2 linked regions of the Pelodiscus sinensis genome follow. The protein of the gene in region 2 interacts with the protein of the main gene of each other region in a biochemical or structural test. Links are inferred from orthologs where the notes say so. Each region holds a gene or a part of one and is shown on either strand. Other genes may lie near its edges.

What was found.
Region 1: the proteins of BCL2L1 (region 2) and PMAIP1 interact in a biophysical measurement, tested with the Homo sapiens proteins (3 studies listed by BioGRID and IntAct, with this or other methods). The link is inferred for Pelodiscus sinensis from reciprocal best matches to the Homo sapiens genes BCL2L1 and PMAIP1.

The regions. Positions count from the first base shown.
Region 1 is NC_134716.1:108,983,096-108,993,490, forward strand, and holds the start of PMAIP1 (phorbol-12-myristate-13-acetate-induced protein 1), read right to left. Parts: upstream 4,314-10,395; 5' UTR 4,006-4,313; coding exon 3,948-4,005; intron 3,895-3,947; exon of another isoform or gene 3,769-3,894; intron 2,899-3,768; coding exon 2,786-2,898; 3' UTR 1-2,785. UniProt on the Homo sapiens protein: Promotes activation of caspases and apoptosis. Promotes mitochondrial membrane changes and efflux of apoptogenic proteins from the mitochondria. Contributes to p53/TP53-dependent apoptosis after radiation exposure. Promotes proteasomal degradation of MCL1.
Region 2 is NC_134728.1:1,756,139-1,767,353, reverse strand, and holds the start of BCL2L1 (bcl-2-like protein 1), read right to left. Parts: upstream 5,130-11,215; 5' UTR 5,044-5,129; intron 3,898-5,043; exon of another isoform or gene 3,788-3,897; intron 3,780-3,787; exon of another isoform or gene 3,629-3,779; intron 3,318-3,628; 5' UTR 3,193-3,317; coding exon 2,641-3,192; intron 1-2,640. UniProt on the Homo sapiens protein: Potent inhibitor of cell death. Inhibits activation of caspases. Appears to regulate cell death by blocking the voltage-dependent anion channel (VDAC) by binding to it and preventing the release of the caspase activator, CYC1, from the mitochondrial membrane.

The sequences.
Region 1 (10,395 bases), on a different chromosome or scaffold from region 2:
TATAACAATACATCAAGCCATAACTCCAAAAATGCCTTGAGAAAAACAATTTCATGTTGATACAGTCAGGCCACATCATTTTGAAAAGTAATGCAAGGGATCTGTGCCCAGACAATACAAAACCAGACTGTAGATTATATACAGATATTAGTCACTTTGAACTAATTCTTCTTTTGCATTGACTCTGAACAGACTGAGTGATGTAACATTAAACAATCACCAAATAAACACACACTAGAATGTAGCAACATAAAAACATTCCATCAAAAGTAAACATTGCCATTAGAAATCTGTATAATAAAGTGCTGCACACACCTCCTAGCTGAAATGCCTCCGTGACATTTACACAGTTCATTCTCACTGCTTTATGCTATTATTTCTGCTTACAGCCTGGAACTACTGATGGGGGCCATTTGAAACCCTGGTTGCATCTTATTTAACTGTAAGGCTGCATATATTGAGCTGAACACCCAATGCCTTAATGCTAAACTTTCCTGTGATTCTTACACTGACATAACTATTATTGACCTCACTGGCATTTTATTCAATTACACAGAAACCACAGGGAGCCTTTTTTCATTGATTTCAGTGTCCGTTAGAGCAAACCGTGAATGAACAGCTTTGCTTAGTCTCATGGAGTTATTCCGTGAGCTAAAATGTGGCATAGCAGAAAGGAAAACAGTCACCCTTTAATAACTGAAAAAGTGCTTTTGAACGAGATAGGATTCTGTACCTCTAGGGAGGCAAGTTCATGTTTGTCACATTAGCTTGTGGCATGGTGGATAAAACAATCCCATCCCAAAATGCTACATTCTCACTGAGAACACAATAACTGATAGCTCATAGAGGAGGAAACCTTGTATGTTTGGACCCACTCCTGCTCTCATTCAAGCCAATGCAAAAGTGCCTTTGCTGGGAGCCAGATTGGGCCCTTTACATACAAAAAACAAAACCCCAGCATCTGCTGAGATAATCCCAAATGACATCAGTGTCAGCAAATCAGATAGCTGGATACTTGGCCCTTGGTACTGAAAGAGTTTTACAGTAAAAACACAAAAGGAAAACAGATTCGTGAAACATCATAGGACCAAATTAATTGGTGATCTAGCATGGAATTAATTACACACGAAAGGCAAAGGATCGCCTAATGGATGCAAGCAGTGAAATAGTATAACTTGCTCTGATCTGGCTTTCAGAAGGTAATACGACAGATGCAATTTTATGCAAAAAGAAAGTGCAGTAGAAGCAAGAGTGAGAATTCAAGTGATTTTTCTTACTCCATCTTCTTTCTGCCTGAAACTGACCCTTATTTTGCACACCAAAATAATACCAAACTTAGGCAAGTTACAATATTTTCATACTATTCATACGCCCCATGTATAATTTAGCCCATCATTTAAGACTGATTAATTTGGCTTAGGAATGTCTTAAGCCTAAGACAGTTGCACTGTCTCTTGAATTTGACTCATGGGGCTTTTAAAATATATAAGCAGAAAAATTGCTTTTTAGGGGCCTGAATGACAGAGCAAGTCTATTCTCCAAGCCATACACAAATGTAGCTTGTCAATAAGGCTATAACAAACATTTCACTAACATCACTATCCATTAGACAAAATAATAGCTTCTTCGTTCATAATTACAAACAAAAATGGTTTGACACCAAACGAGAGCTGAGATTTTTTTTCTTAACCTTTATTTCCCAAGTCTTAGCTTTCATTTAGAAGCAATACATTGCTTTCTGATAACTATTGCAACATTCAGCTTTATGGCTATCTCTTTATCCAAGCAGTTGCTTTTGAAAAAAAGAATTCATGTTTTTTCTCCAGAAAACTGCAGATTCCATTTTAGTTTAAATTTCTATTTGTTCTGAGAGTAATTTTATTACCAACTAATAAAATTAAAACAGTAGCTTATTCTGCTTAAATAGCCCTTCTGATGATGTGAAGGAATCCTCCTTCAACCTTGCACACCTCTCTAACTTATTTTGTGATATAATACATGCTTTAATATATTACATTTCCTTATTCAGTAATTTTCTTAGAATACTGACTGTATGCTATACTTTCTTAATCACAAGAAGCTACCATGCTTCCTTTAATTTTTAATGCATTCTTTATAGCACCATTTGAATAGTTATCTACACTATTTCTGGTGTATAACCATCTATTTAAATTCCATGAAATACTCTTTTCATGCATGTATATACATTATAGAGCCATGCAGCAACCTTGTAAATAACAGAATTACAATGTTATTTATTAGAGAAACACCTGTATAACAAATTACATCATGGATAGAAAATGTGCTTCAATAAAAAAAGAATAATGTTCCACACGAGGCTTTGTCCAACAGAGTCTACATTTTAGAAAACAAAAACAACCAAGAACTTAATTTTCATTGTACATTCCAATCCAGTGTTTGGAGGTAACTGGCATTTTCTGCCTGTGCAATAGAACTAGATGCATCTCATGAAGTGGGACATCAACACACTTATCATATGAGAAGCCATGGTTCCTTGCTCTTCTAATTCACTCCACAGGTCAGTCTTTGGAATAATTAATTCCAATGTTTTCCCCCACAGACATCCACCAGAAAATGCATCTGTGGAGCTCTCCAGAAAAAGTCTATTTCGACAGCTTTCCTTCCGTGGGAACAATCAGTGTAAGTAATGCTCATTCCATCTTCTCATTTCATTCAAATCGCTTTTCACAGGCTTGTAAAGACCGTATTTTCCAAAGCCATTGTTTTCTTCCTTTCTTTTCTGTTTGCCATCTCCAAAGAGTGTTCACGTTCCTGGGCAGAACAGTTTTGTAATCACATTCAGAATCTTCTGCTGCAAATTCAGAATATCTCCTATTTTTCTCAGTTGCAAAGCACATTGGATTATAGATTCTTGCTCTGTTAAAAACAAAGGAATACCAGCCCTCAGCTTTGGTAATTCTGTACCATAAATCCTGTTTCTGTACCAATCTATCGACTTCCTTGTCTACAGGCAATAGCTTTTATATTATCATTTATCTCACACCAGAGGACAAGAGGCATGTTAAAGGTACACTGTTGCTTACACAGCTGATAACATAAATTTACAGTTTCAAAACCTTTCAAATTGTAAAATAAAAACTCAGAAACCTTTAAAAACTTTTGGTAGGTCTCTAGCTTCTTAGCAGGGGAGAATGTAATAAAATGTTCCCATTCCATAGTTTGCACAAGAAATGTTACCCTAAGTGTCAGTGCTACTCTTTGAACATTTTTTTGAATTTAGCACGGATCCCAGGACATGTCACAGAGAATAACTGTTCTGATCTCGCTAGATTGTACAGTTAAACAGCCGCCTCGGCTGTTTCAGACAACAGGAGCGTCTGTTCTCTGAAAAAAAAAATGAAATTCGCTGGCAAAAATAGCTGTGAAACTAGACTCGAACTCTCCAAGGAGGGGTCATTACAATGATTTTACAGGCCCGGGTTTGGCGGGGGGGGGGGGGGGGGGAAGGAACTTAGAACTCACAACCTGGAGCCTAACGTCCCCAAAGCTGGGTGGCGGTGGAAATCGAGCCCAGAATTGGGGGCCGCGCACCTAGCTCTGGTGAGACCCGCTAAAACGTGGATGAGGCTGGCTCCTGTATCAGGCGACACCGATCTGAGCCACTGACCCCTGTACGGAGCCTCTAATGACACAGCCCCATCGGGCCACACCACCCGTCCAGCTTTCCTTCTGGCTCACCCACCCCAGGGCCCGCTGCGCAAGAAGTTACCAAATCCTGGTTGTTACCTTGGCCACCGGCGAGCGGGAAACCGAAACCTACCCGGCTCGCAGGGAACTGAAAGCAAAACCGCCCCCAACGCAGCGAAACTCTCTAACCCCCCCAGTCCCCGGCACGGCTTTAGCCCGCGATCATCAGTCTCCAGCGCGGGTCTGAGGCCGGCTCAGTCCCCGGGCGCCCACGGTACCTGCAGCGGGAGCCGGGGGCTGCTGCGCGCCCTTGCGCAGGGGCTTTCCGGGCATCATTTCGCTCTGCCGGTCGGGACCCGCGGGGAGCTGCGATCAAGCTGCCTGGGACCGTGTCAGGCGCAGGACGGTGCCGAGCGACGCGCTCCTCTCGCTGGCCTCAGGGGCTCTGGCTGCCCGCGACTCGCCGCCGCGCGATAAAGGTGCCGCTGCCTGGGGGGGTTTCCCAGCCTGGGATGAGGTAAGAAAAGCAAAAGGGAATCCCGCCTTCCGCGGCCCTGCTCTCAGCCAATCAGCGGCCGGCAGGGCTGGCGTGCTGCGGCAAGTTGGTTCGGCGCCCGGGCACGTGGCGGCTGCTGCCGGGCGCGCCTGGACTTGCCCTAGTCGGAGCGTGGACTGGCGGCTTCCCCTCCTCCCCGGGCCCGCGGGAGGCGGTGCGAGGAGCCACCTGACGAGCAGCGGCCGCGGTGTGAGGCCTGGCACGCTCCTTGGCGGCGCCCTGGGCTTAGGCGGGAGCTATGGGAGATGGTTTCAGATCCGCAGCCCTGACTGTCCCCAAGTCCCCAAGCCCTGCCTGAGCCTTGCAGAGCGGCCATCCTCCCTGAGCCTGGTCTAGCGCTGTCAGGCACTGAGCCCTGGGCACTGGGCTCGGAATTGGATCAGGCTGCAAAATGCATTTCCCAAGTCCAGGCTCACTGGGCGGTCCTCAGGGCATCTCAATAAAGCCTGGCTCAGGTCTTGGCCCAGAGGAGCCCTGGCTGAGCTTAAGCTGTCTCTATCCTAGCCCTGCATTAGAGTCGCCAGGTGTCCGGTATTGGCCCACAGGGTCTGGTATTTGCTGCCTTTGTCCGGTTAAAAAAAACCCCAGAAAACACTTGACATGTAAAATGTCCAGTATTTTGTTTTTCTGGGACATTCTTCCCCTGCTGCAGTTGGGGTTTTTTGTGTTTGTTTTTTGCTCAACCAATTTTTTTCCTGACATGTTCGGTATTTTTTGTGAATGTATCTGGCAACCTTATAATACATGGGCGATGAAGGTTGTGCCTCCCCAAGCAGTCTGGCTCCATCCCTAGGCCGGGCACTCTCCTGACATTTACTGCCAGCTTTGCTCTGGGTGGGGCTGGGCTCTGTTTCATAGGGACTGATGCTGGGGTTGCGCTGCCCACCTAGTGCTCAGACTGTACCACCCAGATACCTGACACTTTGGGGTTGGGGCTACCGTAGCCACATAGCCCTGAGCACCTCGGTTAGAAGCGATGCGGAGCATGTGGCCACACTGCCTAGTGCACAGGGGCTGGAGGTGTTGTAGCCCCTCTGCCCAACTGCCTGGAGCATGGGGATTTGGGGCTCTGCAGCTGTGCCACCCGCTGTACTGGGAATGGCAGCGCAGTAGTCATGCCACCTACACACTTGATGCACAGGTGTTGAGGGCACTGTGGCTGTGTTGCCTGGCTGGCTGTCCAGGGAACTAAGACTGGGCTCTTGCTCCCCGGACACCGTGGCTGTGTCTACCTTGGCACCCTTTTCCGGAAAAGGGATGCTAATGAGACAAGTCAGAATTGCAAATGCCGCGGGGGATTTAAATATCCCCCGCGGCATTTGCATGAACATGGCTGCCGCTTTTTTCCGGCTCGGGGCTTTGCCGGAGAAAAGCGCCAGTCTAGATGGGATCTTTCAGAAAATAAAGCCTTTTCCAGAAGATCCCTTATTCCTCTTAAAATCAGGATTTGTCAGTGAATGACATTAACAGAGAAAATGATGGCTTCACCCCTCAAAGCAGTTTCTAATCAGAGAAAAATGCCAGACAATAATATGTGTCTATGATGGCTGATGAGAAATAATAATTCTCTCCATGTAACCACAGCCTCTGGTACCTAATGCCTGCAGATGCTGACTATATTAGTGGTGACTGGACATACTTGACTATCAGGCCATTTGTACTGGCTCTGTTCAGAGGCACTTTAACCTGTTATATTTACTGCACAGATTGGGTGAAGTCCTAGCCCTACAGAAGTCATAGCAAAGCTCCCATTGATGTCAATAGGACCAGGTTTTCATCTGTTTTACCTTAATCGTAGTGCCACCTTTATTGTCCAACAGCATCAGCTGGTTTCAGAAACATGCTGGCAAAATTCTGTCCTTGATGCATTGAGTGGGGTCGGGGGAGGGGAAGAAGGAGTGGAAGCTCCCTGACCCATTTCTCCCTGACCCTAGGGCAGCAGAACTTATGTGAACGTGGGGGGAAAGGCTGTGTAATGCACCTTCCTGCTCTTATGTTAAGATAGGAGGCCCAAAGCAGTATATGCACAGGGAGACGGAAGAGTAACCGTGCTCCAAGGAGGTACACCATGTCCACTTGGAGCTATGGTGTGCTGGCAGGTGTGTTAGCCATTACTTCAGCCTTTGGCTCAGTGTAGTCCTTGTCTAAAATCCTGCCCAGTAATAATCCTAGAAGTGAAGGATGGTCACCCTGCATCCACTTTCATTCCTCCTCCCAGAAGTTTGCTGTTTGCTGATAAGACTATTCACCAGTAAATAGGAAGTTTATTTCCCTAAAAGAAGGAAGGGTGCAAACACCAAGTAGGCAGAGGGTGTTTGTTTAGGGTGGCACAAAGCTTACAACTAGAAGGCTCTTTTGTAACCCTGTTTTGACGCTAAAGAGCTGCTTTTGTTTTGGTGCTAATTGACCTCTGTGGCAGTCTGTCTGGTTTACACTGCCACTCATCATCACACCACTATCATATTTGTCATCTGAAGAAGTGGGTTGTGCCCATGAAAGCTCATAATACTATCTATATTTTTTGTTAGGCTCTAAGGTGCTACAGGACCACTACTTTTTTAAGCTTTTTTTAAAGTTACAGACTAAACACAACTACTCCTGAGACTTTTACCCGTCACCATGGTATGTGAGTACCTTTAGCATGAAGTAGATTGTCAAGAGCAAAGTCCCTGGTAGGCAGGATATAAATCTTCCAGGCAGAAAAAGTTTTGGGTTTTTTTTGTTTATTTGACACATTTGTGTGTTTGTTTTTTTCTGTTTGCATTTTTAATTTTTTTTGGAGCTACTCGGAAGTATTTGACTGGGCTGGTGACAGATTTGCCAGGTCCTGGACAATGTGTGTGTGGGGGACCTTAGCTCTGGAAAAGGTGGGGCCTTGGGCAGAAGAAGGGGGGGTTAGGGTTAGCCTTCCTCCTCCAGCTCTCACTGCCCCTGGACTGTGCCTTACAGTGCTCCAACCGTGATTTAAAGGGCCTGAGGTTCTGCCACTGCCATGGTAGCAATGGTGGCAGCTGGTAGCTTGGAGCTCTTTTAAATTGCTGGGCCTAGGGGCAACTGCCTCCTTTGTCCCTCATGCCCGCCTCCTTTGAGGGCCCTGGTATTTGTTCTCTTAGTGCTTTGCACAGCTGTTTGCCATTCCTTTTGCTCCTCTTTGAGGCGTATGCAGCAGTAACTGGCTCCCACACTGCAGTCACTTGTTGCATAGAGTGCTCTGTTTGCTCACTGCTTTCATTTCTGGATCCTCTCATTTAAAGGGGAATACCTTTTCAAATATCTGACTCCTCGATCACAAGACACTAGTTCCTCACAGCTAACAGGAAAAGCAAGTTTTAGGAAGCTGGTAAACCTGATCATACCTTAGTGCACATCAGAATAGGTGACGTGGCCATGTGCTGATTGTATAAGCATTGTTATTGTCTCAAGTTCAAAAAAAAAAAAGCTGCACACGAATCCCTGGGGCTGTATTTCAGTGCAGTTTGGTGAAGAACAATGGTTCCTCTACAAATAATTGTGATTTTCCTGGAAATGTAGTGATACAGCATTGTGTACTACCCGCTACCCTCTCCCCAGCTGTGCACAGGAAACCAAACTACAAAGAAAGTTGGCGTGGGCTTAGAGAGCAGGGAAAAGAGAGAATTTCTGATCCATCCCACTCCCACAGTGATGTATCTGTATCTTCCCCCACCACAACAAACTCCGAACAGCTAACGGATCATGCAAGAAGTGTGGACAGACATAGGGTTGCCAGATACTTTCACAAAAAATACAGAACATGTCCGGAAAAAAATTGTTTGAGCAAAACCAAAAACAAAACCCAACCAACCGAAAAAACAACAACAAACAACCGCACAAAAAAAAACCCAGTCAGTGTGCCTTTAAATTCCCATGGTCCCTGCTCCCTCCCCCCGCCCCCGCCATATGTGACAGGGGAAGAATGTCCCAAGCAGCCTTCCGTCCGAGAAAAACAGAAAATACTGGACATTTTATATGTCCAGTATTTTCTGGGGTTTTTTTACTAGACAGTGGAGGCAAATACCGGACTATCCGGGCCAATATTGGACACCTGGTGAGAAGAAGCCAAGTATATTAAATGGCATAGTGTGACACAATTCAGAGCAACTACACCTTTATTCTCCCTTCATGTTCTAGCGAGGGCAGCTACTCTAGGCTCTGGCTCCTCAGCCTTCACCCCTCTGATGGCCATCATCTCTCTCCCTCCTGACCACTGTATTTCTAGGCTGCATGGTTCTCTGCCTATACTGTAAATTTCTCAGCAAAGTCTAACCATCTAAGCAGGTCAACTTTGCTTTTCTTCACAGAGGCTACAAACAGTGTAATTGGTCATAGCAAAGTTACCACACAGCTATTTCAAAGCAAGCACATTTATCCTTCAGGTAGTGAAGATTACAGAGCAAACACATTACAACCACTAAAAGAACCTACATGCATACTAAAAAACTTACCAGGGATCATCCCGCTAGTCTAACAAGGGCTCTACTGCTGACCAGTCCTGAAAAGCTAGACAGGAATTTTACTATGGGGATAAATTGATAAAAACAAGCACCCCTTTAAATCTCTAAGTCATGCTTTTATCCAGTTTGGGACTCAGATCTCCTCCTGTAAGAAGCGCTCAACAAAAAGTTTCTCCTCAGAGATGGCTTCAAAAGGCTGGGTCCCCAAAGATGGCTAATTTGCATTCTCCTTCAATCAAGTATTTCCCTGGAAATCCACTCAATTAGACATGCTAGCCTGGCTAGTGCATTGCTTCAAATGGTCGTTTGAAGCTCATAGCATGTCCTAGGGGTTACAGTAGGCCAGTGTTCCCTTTAAAGAAGTTATACACAGTCAGGCTACGTCTACACTGGCCCCTTTTCCGGAAGGGGCATGTAAATTTCACCAGTCGTCGTAGGGAAATCCGCGGGGGATTTAAATATCCCCCGCGGCATTTAAATAAAAATGTCCGCCGCTTTTTTCCGGCTTTTAAAAAAGCCGGAAAAGAGCATCTACACTGGCCCCGATCCTCCGGAAAAAGTGCCCTTTTCCGGAGGGTCTTATTCAAAGTAGGAATAAGACCCTCCGGAAAAGGGCACTTTTTCCGGAGGATCGGGGCCAGTGTAGACGCTCTTTTCCGGCTTTTTTAAAAGCCGGAAAAAAGCGGCGGACATTTTTATTTAAATGCCGCGGGGGATATTTAAATCCCCCGCGGATTTCCCTACGACGACTGGTGAAATTTACATGCCCCTTCCGGAAAAGGGGCCAGTGTAGACGTAGCCTCACACATTAACATTTTTTCTTTTAATACAATGATTATGAACTCCTAACATTCTTCAGTGTAATTCAATATGGGTTGGCCCGGATATTGCCATGTCTATCCCAGTGAGCATTTGGGAAGCTGTCTATACAAACTCATGAAGTCTGGATATTTTAAATGTTCCTATAAAAGCTACTGTATCCTGAGTGCCTATCTGTATGTGGAGCCATCAAATCTGTAACAGCTGCCCTTATGCTAAAGAACAGCTGCATCCTTAGAAGACCAGCATTATTTACCCCTCCGGAAAGAAAGGGGAAAGTAGGAGCTGGGGAAAGTTACCTGAAGTAGAACAAAATTAGACAGGTGTCTCAGGTTTCAATAACCAGCCAGGAGGTGGTTAAATAAGGGAGAGCTATTCAGGAAGAGGAAGTTGTGGGTGGGAGACAACATATAGCTGTTGCAAGAGATAGGTGGGGCCTGTTTTGCTTTCCTGATGGCCCCAGGTGCTGTGGCTGAGTCAAGAGACTCTGACCCCAGCCCTGCAAGAATGCTGTGGAGTGGTGAGGAAACTGAGGAAGGAAGTGTGCGCACTGTTTATTGGTCTGTGTGGTCTCTTGTGCTTAATATGATTAAGTATAAAGGTGCAATGATGTGTGAGACTTATGCAGTGTCTGTGTGTTGGCTGCTTCCCAGCTACTGTGTACCTTTGCAGAGAGCTAAACTGTAAACCAGATACTTCTATTTGGAGTGGAGCTGTAGGAGGGAATGTGTTGGGTTAAGGGTGCAAACTTGCTAATTGCACAAAACTGAATTCCCCTGTCCCAGCCCTACTTGTTCATTTTCTTTCCCTCCATTGTGCCTCTGTGCGACCATCACTTACTTTGACCCTGTGTGTGTGGTGGGAAGTGAGGAATGAAGA
Region 2 (11,215 bases):
CCTGCTGCCTCTTTCTGATAGAGGCAGTGAGGGGAGAGGGGAAGACAGATAGTCGACTAGTGTGTCGACTTTCCGATAAACATTTGCTTATCGGAGCGTCAACTAGTCATTCCCACCCCTACGCCTGCCCTCTCTCAGAGATTGGCAGTAGTGAAATGCTGTGATACTCTAGAAAACAAACATCAGGTACATGCCAGGAACAGGCCAGCCAGAACTTGCATACATCTGATTGGGACTTGGCTACAGCACCTTTTTGTGAGAGCATTGTTTGCAGGGGCCAAGCAATAGCAAGTACCACACACACTGTACGTAAGCAGCAGTCCTGATCCACCATCACTGGGCCTGGAAGAGCATTCACTCGTGCAGACTTACCATGGGAGAGGCCAATGGTTTCTCTTTGCATGCAGAAGCAGGGGACAGTGAAAGCAAAGATATCGATACCCTCCCCCACACATCAGGAGGATTCCTGAACTTTTACAGCCAGTTACATTAGCACTATTGTTAGCAACAGCAGAACTGAACAAGGGGAACAAGATCAGGAAATCTGGGGCCAAAAAGTACCTAGTGTGGACACGGGGTTGCCAGGTGGTTTCAACAAAAATACCGGACACAGTTGACATTACATCTTATTTAGCAAATACCGGACATTTCTATTTTCTTAATTTGTCTCCTGAACAGAAAAGCTCAAATACTGGACTGTCCGGTTCAAAACTGGACACTTGGCAACCCTATGAGGACAAGGCCACAAGCACTACTAAAGCTATCACAGCTCCTAGTCTGGTATCTGCATAAGCCCCCGTAATGGACACACAGAAACTGCACCCTACATTTTTCTACAGAAACAGCCCAGACCTCCTCTCTGGGCATCTGCACCGCCTCCCTGTGCAAATTAGTGTGTTACACAGTTGGGCCAGCTTGCCACAAATGATACAAGCCAGCCAGGGTAGCTAAAAATAAACACAGGGATACCAGCTCGGAGCAAAACTGCTGTTCTGTCTAGCCAAAACAGCAGCTCTTAGCCATCTTAAGAGCAGGAGACAGTGGGTGTGTCAGAAAGGAAGGAATCCTGCCCCTCATGCAATCTGCTGAACAAATATTTGTTTCAAACAATGAATTTGTGCTCAGACACAAAGCAACCAAGCTGTGATACTTGGCTGGGGCGGGGGAGGGGTACTGCATTCCCAACAAGCAGAGACCAGTGACTTTCCATCAGTGATTTAATCTAAATCTCCCAGGGAGTTCATTTACAAAATCAGATTGCATTATCGCCTAGGTCTCCAGGAGACAACCCCATCGTCACCCGCAGCAACAGCCACAGAGCCTGGGAAACCTCCACTGGATCACCCCATTCCACAGCTAATCTCTAGTTTTGAAAGCCAGCCCTGGAGAGGGGAGGGATGAAACCCAGCTTCAGCTCTGCTAGGAGGACCCGCAGGGCCAGAGAGCTCATGGGCCAGAGACCACCTGCTGAGCTGGCGAATGAGCGCCTTGGTTATTAACGTGAAGCAAAATTCAGTCTGTTTGGGCAGCCACACCCCAGGCAGTGCCCCAGGCAGATTGCATTCCAAGCATTCCTGGGCTGGAGCGCACATCCTCCTCCTGCCTCAGCAAGGCTTCGTGTCCTGGGTCCAGTGCTGGGTGAGCGCCAAGAGGCCAGCTCCAATTCACCTGTGGCAGGTGCAGTTGCAGGGCAAGGCTGGGCTGGAGCAATCTTGTCTCCATACTCCCCTGCACTTCCTGAAGTCCCCTCTACCTGTCAGGGGGAGGTACCTGCCGGGCTGGGAAAGTGAACACTAGTCCCAAAACCACAGCTCCTCAATGGGCAAGGGAAACAAAACTCCACTGCTTAAATTCGAGTAGCTGGCACTGTCCTCCCTGTACTCTTATAGGCCTCGCTACCATGGTAGAGAATCAAGCCCCACATCCCGTGGACCTAACACGTCCATAGTGCAGGCCTTCTGGTGCAAGCACAAATCCACTAAAAGTGTCCACAAGCTCGGTGCTCAGGCAAGCAGGGGAAAACAACTGTGATTGGAGCCAGGCATACAGCAGGAGTATTAGCTGCCTCTCTTCAGGTAGTTCTAGCTATGTACTTCAATTCTCAAACAATGGGGAGGACAAATACCCCGGGGAAGAAGGCCTACTCTATTGGTGAGCAAATCAGAAGGGGAGTTCTAGTCTTCAGAGGAGAAGAGCTAGCATGTCATCCCACTCCGCTTCAAAGCCTACCCCTGGCATTTTAGGACAAAGGTGGAAGGAAGATTCAGTCCTGAGCTGGGTTCCCGACTACTGTCGGTCATGCTAAGGAACATCAGGAGCAATCCTGGATGACCGGGACGCCAAAAGGGTTTCTCCAACATCCAAGGAGGCTAAGAAGCAGAGGGATTCAGACAAGCCTGGATGGCAGGCATGGTACCAGTCTGGATTGTTCTGCCAAAATGGAGTGACCCCTTGTGGCAAACCGCTAAGAAAGGGGAAAAAGGCCCATTCGAGCTGTCTGTTTCCCTAGGGACATCTAAGACCATTACTACCATGCACAAGGCACTCAGCCAGTTACATTTTAAGCAGACTTGTACAACAGTTGTCAATAAGGTCGGATGAGGGGGAGCGCGTCCCCTTGGACGCGAGACATATTCTTACCCAACCGCCATTCTCTTGGATCCAGGGATCAAGGTGGTCAGTCAGGTAAGTGGTCATCCAAGAGGCGATGCGTCCCACCAACACCTGCATCTCCTTGTCCACACTCTCCACGCACAGGGCTCCTCCAAAGGAGAAAAAAGCCACAATGCGCCCCCAGTTCACTCCGTCCCGGAAGAGTTCATTCACCACCTGCTCGAAGCTCTGGTAAGCCGTGCCCAGGGTGATGTGGAGCTGGGAAGTGAGGTCACTGAAAGCCCTCCGATACCTCAATTCAAACTCATCTCCTGCCTCTCTCAGCGCCTGCCTCACTTCGGCTGCCGGAACCCTTTCATGGGCTTCAAGGCTGTTACTGTGCCCGGCAGCCCCGTTCACTACGTGGCTGGCACCTGGATGCCAGGATGGACTCCCATTAGGGACGCTTGCCATCTCCGCCTCTTCTGCAGCCTCAGTCCTGATCTCATCCTCCCCCTCGAACCAGCTCCAGCTGTGTCCCCTCTGCGATAGCTTGTAGGAGAGGAAGTCAATCACTAATTCCCTGTTAGTGTTCGACATTTTCACATTAGGGGGATTCTCATCGAGTCCATGGTCCAGAACACGAGCTGACCAGCGTGCTTACCAGTTCCAGGCTCTGCTTTCCTCTGGGGTCAAGGCAAACCTCAGAATGTGGAGCAGACAATCTTCAGAGGGAAAAGAGAGGCAAGTAAACTGTTAACACAACATTATACTCACATTTGGGGCATTAACATCAGTAGCTTCTTCCTACACTGAGACCCTGGAGCGTCTGCGGTTACACCCTAGGCAGAAGCTCAGAAAACTGATGGAAAGCCATCCATTTCGACGAGCCCTAGGCTGAAACCCCTTGGACTTGCTTCTGAAACAGCCACAAGTCACATGAAACGCAAGCAGTTCAGCCACCTCTCCATGACCTAGGAAAAGCCTGAAAGCTCTTTTGTGATGTAGCTGCGCAGAAGGTCGAGGGGTTCTATACCTCTGCAGAAGGTCACCAAAGGCTCGGTAGCCAGCCAGCCCCAGCTGCTTAGTCTCAGACTAAGCCTGAGAAGAAAAAGCAGCTCTTGCTGCAGCGACGGCGCGACCCTGCAGGCTGGAAATTTGAAAGCAAAGAGGCTTTGAAGCCCCAAGAGCTCACCCTCCGCTTGTTCCTCCATTACCTTGATTGAGTGGTGCATGCAGCTCCGCTCTGCTGCAGTAACGCAAAGAACCCTCCTTCCCGCACGCCCCCTTCCTCCCCGCCTCCCGGAGAAGATCAAAGCCCTTCCTGATTTTTTTTTTAAAGGGACCGGTACTACTGGGTGAGGTCCCTTGAAATATTGGCTTGCGCACTAAAAGAACAATGCACCGTTCTCTCACTCCTGTCAAGTAACATTTTCCAATAATTAGAGAGGCTCAGTTTAGAACAATAGCAGTTGGCAGCCAGCACGGGGGAGCTGGTTAAAGCTTTACAACATGATTTTCCTTTTTCCATTCCAGAGAGGATTATCCCTGGGCTGAGTTTCACAAGCTTCCAGGTGCATTGAAGGTGCACAGTTCCTCTTTGCTAGGTTTGAGTGCCGCTACCACCGTAGGGAATCCTTTACAGACCTCTTCTGCATTTTACTGGAGTCCCACACCCTCAACCCTACTCTGGTAGCAAAGATAGGGAGAGGAAGTCATAGAATAGTTTCAGGGTGCCCAGGAAAAGCAAGGAAAGATTGGAAGCACATTCAATCTATGCTGCCTTACTTCGGGTGTAATTAATCATTGCAGAGGGAGGTTTCCAAGGAAAGGGAATGCATACAAACACAGATCTCACTGGGAGAGACTTGAAACAAAAAACAGGACTATGTAGTTAAAGACTAACAAGACGGTTTATTAGGTGATGAGCTTTCCTGGGCCAGACCCACTTCCTCAGATCAAAAAAGAGAGACTTGGCACTCTTCAGGGAAACCCTGAAATATTACTAACGACCCCTAGAGTATTGTAAGAACAGAAATAACTCTATAGAAATGTGTCCCAGATACACTCTTTTTCAGTGTTTTGCCATCACATCTATACAGTCAACATCTATAGGCCAAAGGGGGGGCCATGGCTTCCTGTATTCAGAGCTTTCTGTAACTACTTGTATTAGGAAACCTTATAGTGCCACAGAAAAATCACCAGGTAGTTAAGTCACCAACTGCAGTCACTTTCATCTCATTGCTCTTTATTAAAAGCATTTTATTTTGTTCTATGATTTTACCAAAGCAACTTCTCTCTGCCCCATTTCCACCCTGTCCTAGGTCCTACAAGGGGAAGCAGCAGAGTGGCCTCATCTCTTTTGTACAAGGATCTGTACCAAACAGGATACATAGGCTTCCCCTCAGAATACACATTGGAGAGAGAGCATACATCCGTGTTTGTACTCACCCCCTACAGTAGCTGCCGGGAGAAAGCTCTGGCCTGGGAAATCTGTTCACCGCCCCTTTCGGACCAGCTGCAGAGGAGAAAGACAACTACTGACTCAGCACGTAGGCTACTCCCTGATCCTCCCACAAGATGCATTGAGCTGCCCTGCTCCCCATCCCTCTTGTCCCTCCCTCACTAGTCTTCTAACCCTTCCCTTGCCCCACCCCCTTACCAGACCCCAGATCTTTGGAACTAAACATAGCAAGCTGCCTTTTCTCTCCAGCATTGCAGTAAGCCCTCAACACAGCATCTACCTGACCAACATACTTTGCTCTGACACTTTACATGGACCTGGGTTTTTATGGCTGTTTTGTTTAAAATCCATTCTCTTGGCAAAGAGGCTTGGACTGGTTCTTACATCCCCCCCTTGAGGGGCTCCTGTTGAAAACTGTGCTGAGGGGTCTGCTCTTGCAAGTTTCACCTGGACTCTCAGATAGAGTATTCCCTTGGCTTGAAGCACAGTGTTTCACAAGGTCACAGATGTCAAGGTGATCTCCAAAATAATCAAGATCTAGTCTTAGTGTTTTGTAAAATAAAAGATTGATATTCATGTATCTGAATTATCAGTTGGGTTCAAAAATAATGTAGATCAATTCCTGGAGGATAAGTCCACCATTGGCTATTAGCTAAGGTGGTCAGGGTCATGCTCTTGTTGACACTAAACCTCTGACTGCTAGAAGCTGAGTGGTTAACAGGGAATCAGCAGCTTGTTAATTGCCCTGCTCTGTTCATTTGTTCTGAAGAATCTGGCAGTGATCACTGTAAGAGGACAAGCTTTTGGGCTAGCTCACTGTGCAGGCCCATATGCAGGGTGTGTGTGAAGGGTGTGAAAGCACCCCCCTATGATCCCCCAAATAAGCATGCTCCAGCCAGCCAGGGGAAGGTAGGGACAGTGCACCGCCCAAGCTCTGACCAGTCAGGGAAGACTGGGGCTGATTTCCCCATTTATTTGGGGAAAGATGGGAGGGGAAGTGCATTCACACCCTTGTGGGCCACATTTTCAAAAAAGTGCACACACCCCTGACAGAAATTCCCGCATGCAGGACTGCTATGGTGGTTGTTTTTATGTACCAGAGTGAACTGGGAGCCATTGGATTATGCTAAGTCCCAGTGTGATTGGTTCTTGACAGTCTTAGTGGGGTAGCCATGTTAGTTTGTAACTTTAAAAAAAAATAAAAAACACAAGTGGTCCGGTAGCATCTCAAAGACTAACAAAAAATATACATCGTATGGTGAGCTTCCTTGGGCACAACCTACTTGTTCAGATGAATGGAGCAAAAGGGGATTCCTTAAAGAAAATCAGCTGCATGCTGTACGAGTTTCTATGTATTCACCTTCAGGCCCAAGTGGAGTTACAGCAGTTAACAGAAGCAAGGAGAAAGTTGATTACAATTGATACATACTCATTCACAAGAAATTGCTCCTGGTAAGATGGACTGGTCTTTCAGCCAATATTGTAATCTGTATATCTAGAACACAAGAGTTCATACTTCTTTGCTGACAAAAAGATGCTGCACACCATCAGAGAGAGCAGAATTAAAACCCAGAGCATTTCATCATCTTTCCAATGGGTCTCATATATATGTTGAAAAGGAGAGTCGGTAAGAATAATTGTTACAGGACCTATTGGGGGTATAGTATTGAGTTAGCTTCATTAATCCTCCTGCTAGGTGTTGTGTGTGACTCTGCAACAATTTCTGTCTTAGCCTTTGTTAATTTTTGGAGGAGGGAGGCTAACATTTCAGCACTCTTTATTGTGAAGAAAATCCTACAGATGTAATTCACTGCTGCTAGGAGTTGGAAATTTGTCACAGTGATCATAGTTTCTACAACCATCCAGGGTAGACTGTTGGGACCCTCTTTTTTCCCTGGCTATGGGAGAAGTACCAGTTAGTTGCTGATGGTAGCTGTATGTTACCAGAAACTCCCTCTTAGCTGGCTGCTCACAGAGAAGTACAACACATTACAAAGGCAATTTCCCCTCTCTGAATATTCACATGTTCAGAACAAATGCTATGAAAGACCCACTTTCACCTAGACTTGATTAGCTTCATTAACGCAAGCAACTCCTTCCTTATATACACTTCTGCTGCTGTGACTTACACTCCAATTCACCTGATTAAGTAGGTTTTACCCACAAAAGCTTTTACCATGATAAATCTGTTAATCTCTAAAGCAGGGGTTGGGAACCTTTTTTGGTCAGCGGCCACTGACCTAGGGATGTAATAGTGTAGTTGTTTAACCGATAAGCAAAAGCTTATCACTTAATGCTATAGACTACATGCATTTCCTCCCCCCACTTTTTGCCAGAATTTTTTTTAGCAGGCTCACCAGCAGCTCAGCTCAGTTGTGCTGGGTCTAGGACCTACCATTGGTGCAACTCTGCATTTAAAGTGTATTAGAAGCTCGGTGGGCAGGCAGCCCTGCACCAGGAGCAGGAGCTCAGACCAGTCCCTTCCCCCTGACATGGGCTGCTACCACCCCACGCTGCTGCCTCTGTATCAGAGGCAGCAGTGTGGGGTGACAGGCTAGTCCACGAGGGTAGCTGGTTTTTAAACTGGCTCCCCTTGCAGACCAGTTCCTACCTGGCTCCCCATGCTGCTGCCTCTGATGCAGAGGCAGCAGCGTGGAGTGGAAGGGGGTACATTGGCTATCAGCCCCACCCCTGGGGACTACAGAATAGCCAAGTAACCAATAAGAATTCATGAGGTTAATCAACTATTCAACTAACTAATATTTAAAATCCCTATACTGAGCCACAGAAAAAACAGTTGTGAGCCACACAGTGCAGGCTCCCCAATGCTGGGTGGCCCCCCGAGCCTTAGGTTCCTCACTTCTGCTCTAAGGTGCCATTTTGTATCCCTCTTAAAATAAGGGATCTTTCGGAAAAGGCTTTATTTTCCAAAAGATCCACGTCTAGACTGGCGCTTTTTTCCGGTAAAGCTGCGTGCCGAAAAAAAGCGGTAGCCATTTTTATGCTAATGAAGTGGGGGAAATTTAAATCCCCGCTTCATTAGCAATTGCGATACCTCTAATTTGCATCCCTTTTACGAAAAAGGGATGCAATCTAGATGTAGCCACTGAGTAAATGGCTATTCCTCGGACACTTTTCACAGAGGAGTTGGCTTCTTTGCTGAATAGCCAATGTGATTTCTGGCCAAAGAGTGGCAGCTCAGTAGTGTGAGAAGTAGGATGGTGTAAGGGGCGAAGCACAAAACCGACTCTCTTAGCTTTGGTAGTTAATAGTGCCACTTTCCTTTCTGTCTTCATGCAGTGGGGAAAACAGGGCAGGCACGGGCTGAGGCTTATGGCTAGGGTCTTGCACCAATACAAAATTCGTATCCCCCTCTGCAAAAGCGAGCCACAGATAACCACAGCTACATCCACGGACAGGGATACCTGCGGACAGGCACGAGTGTGCAGAATGCTAGATACAAAATTCGTAGCCGTGCTGGTAGAAACAAGCCGGGGATACAGCACCCATGGCTATGGCAGGGTCCTGCTCCTGGCCAGGCCTGTCACCCAGACCAGAGCCCCTCCCCCAGCACTGGGAGCAGAGCACAGATGGGCGAGGAGGGGAATAAGCAGCAGTCACGTGGTGCCTGTAAAGCCTGTAACCCCTCCCCCACCTCTGCCCCTTCCAACGGCCCCGCCTCTACCCTTGGGGCCCTTCCCACGTGATGGAGGCCGAAGGCGGGGCCAACAGCCACCTTCCCATTGGCTGCTGCCCGTTGTCACTCACACCTCGCCTGCCCCCCTCACCTCAGGCCGGCGAAGGGCCTAACCCCCACCCCACAGGCGGAGGCGAACGCCGAGGCAGAGCAACAGCAGCCCGCGGACCTACAGCCGCTTCGGCGGCCTCCTGCTCCACCCCCGCCCCTCAACGGCTGCCTCATCCCCGTCTCTGGGCGGGGCCGCGGGGGAGCGCGCATGCGCGAGTGGCTTTCACGCGCGGGGCATGAACATCCGGCTAGGCGGGGGGGGTTAATACGCATGCGCACGCGGCGTGGGAGGCGAGAGCATGCGCAATGCAGCGGGCGCCCCTGTCAGCGCGAAGGCGTTAGCGACCCCGCGTGGCCGCCTGGGAGAAGTGGCTATTTAAAGGGACAGAACCTCCCCGCCCCCCTTCCCAGTGATGTCGCTGTGCAGCCAGCCGTCCCGCCCTATCGCCTCTGTTCTGCGGGGGGGAGTGTCCAGGCGCCGATGCCAGCAGCTTCCAATTGAAAAGCCCCAGGGCCACCTCACTCCCATGGTTTGTACCAGCTCTTCCCCTCCCTTGGCAGGAAGAAGGGGGGGGTGCAATGGAGCATTTCAATCTTCATCTTCCTGCTCATTTTTTCTATACCAGCGTGGAATAAATGTTGTTCTGTGCACCAAGGCATGTACAGAGATGCACCACCAATAGAAGCACATGCTGCCAGCTTTGGGCACTCTGCTAATCCACTGAGCAGCATTTGAATCTCTCCTGGGTGGTTGCCCCAGCATTCAACTTATGGGGAACACTGGTCAGTAGGACAGGCCTGGAACGTTCGTCAATAGGTCATCTAAATCAGTGTTTCTTAAACATTTTAAGACCGAGGAACACCAAACAATTTTTGTTTATGGGGAACACCAAGAATTTTTGTTGAGCACAAAAAAAAAGGAAAAAAAAAAAAGGAAGCTTGCCCCTTTAAAGGATGGCTATTTGAACTGTTTTCTCCGCATATGGACTATGTCTACACTGGAAGATTCTTGCACAAGAACCCACAGAGCGTCCACACCTGCTCGCCCGCTCTTGCGCAAGAAGATTTACAGTATGGCATCAGAAGAAAGGGCTTCTTGCACAAGAGCTACACTCTTTTCTAACAAATGAAAGCCTTCTTGTGCAAGAGGGCAGTGTGGACGTGCGGCAGGGGTTTCTTGTGCAAGAAAGCCCTTTGGCTAAAATGGCCATCAGAGCTTTCTTGCTCAAGAGAGCATCCACATTGCCATGGATGCTCTTGTACAAAAGCAAATGGCAGTGTGGATGTGTTCTTGCACAAGAACCCTTGCACACGATGTTTTTGCACAAGAACCCTTGCACATGATGTTCTTGCGCAAGAACCCGCCAGTGTAGACATAATGATGACCATATTTTCTGAACCAAAGTTAGGGACACATTACCTGCACCCCCTGACCTCTGTTTACTATGCCCCTGACTCTCGGGGTCAAGATGGACACATGACCAGAAGTAAAAGTAACCCCCTCTAAGAACTTTTCCCACCATCCTCTTACCCATAGGTAGTGGTTCTCAACTCGTTTCAGTTCACGGACCACCAGGCCAATCAAAAATTTTTCATGGATTACCTCCATTTTGAGACATGATAAAAAAGAGCAGACAACAAATATTTTGATTTGAAATGTATTTCTTACTAACAAATTTTAGGGATTCTCTTCTCACTGACAAGCTTTTCAATGTTTGGAGTGGTACTTGATAATGCACAACGAATATTGCTTTCCACTGCAAGCCGATTCCTCTGTTTGGACTTAACGTGCAACAAACACGAAATTCCAATCTCACACATATAAGTTGATGCAAATGGCAAAAGAAATCTGACTGCGTGTGCTGACAGATTTTGGTAACTTCTGATCACGCTGGCCCAGAATTTCTCTATGGTAGACTGCTGGTACATGTCTTGAGCCGCAAAATCATTTTTCAGATCCAAGAATTTTTCCTGCAGATCCTCTGGAACACTATTAACATCTGTTGTAAATGGATTCCTGACGAAAGATAATCCATCCCTTGTCCTGTCCACCTCCAAAAAGTATCGTTGGAATTAATCTTGTAGCTTCTGTAAATGATCGAGAATTTGCGTCCGAATGGCTTCCTTTTCCCCGAGCATGGCATCCACATATGGAAATTGAACCAACGTATTGCCTTCGACTCTTATGATCCAGAGTTCCAATTTATCAAGAAAAGCCTTAACGATGCTTTGGTGAGAGAACAGATTTGCACCTTTCCCTTGCAGCTGAAGATTCAGTTTGTTCAAGATTCGAAAAATATCGACAAGATACGCAAGTTCTAAATTTGACTGTGTCAGCACATTTCGGAATTCCTCTTTCCCTTGAGCCTGGACTAATAAATCCAACTTCTCTCTCAACTGAAAAACTCTGT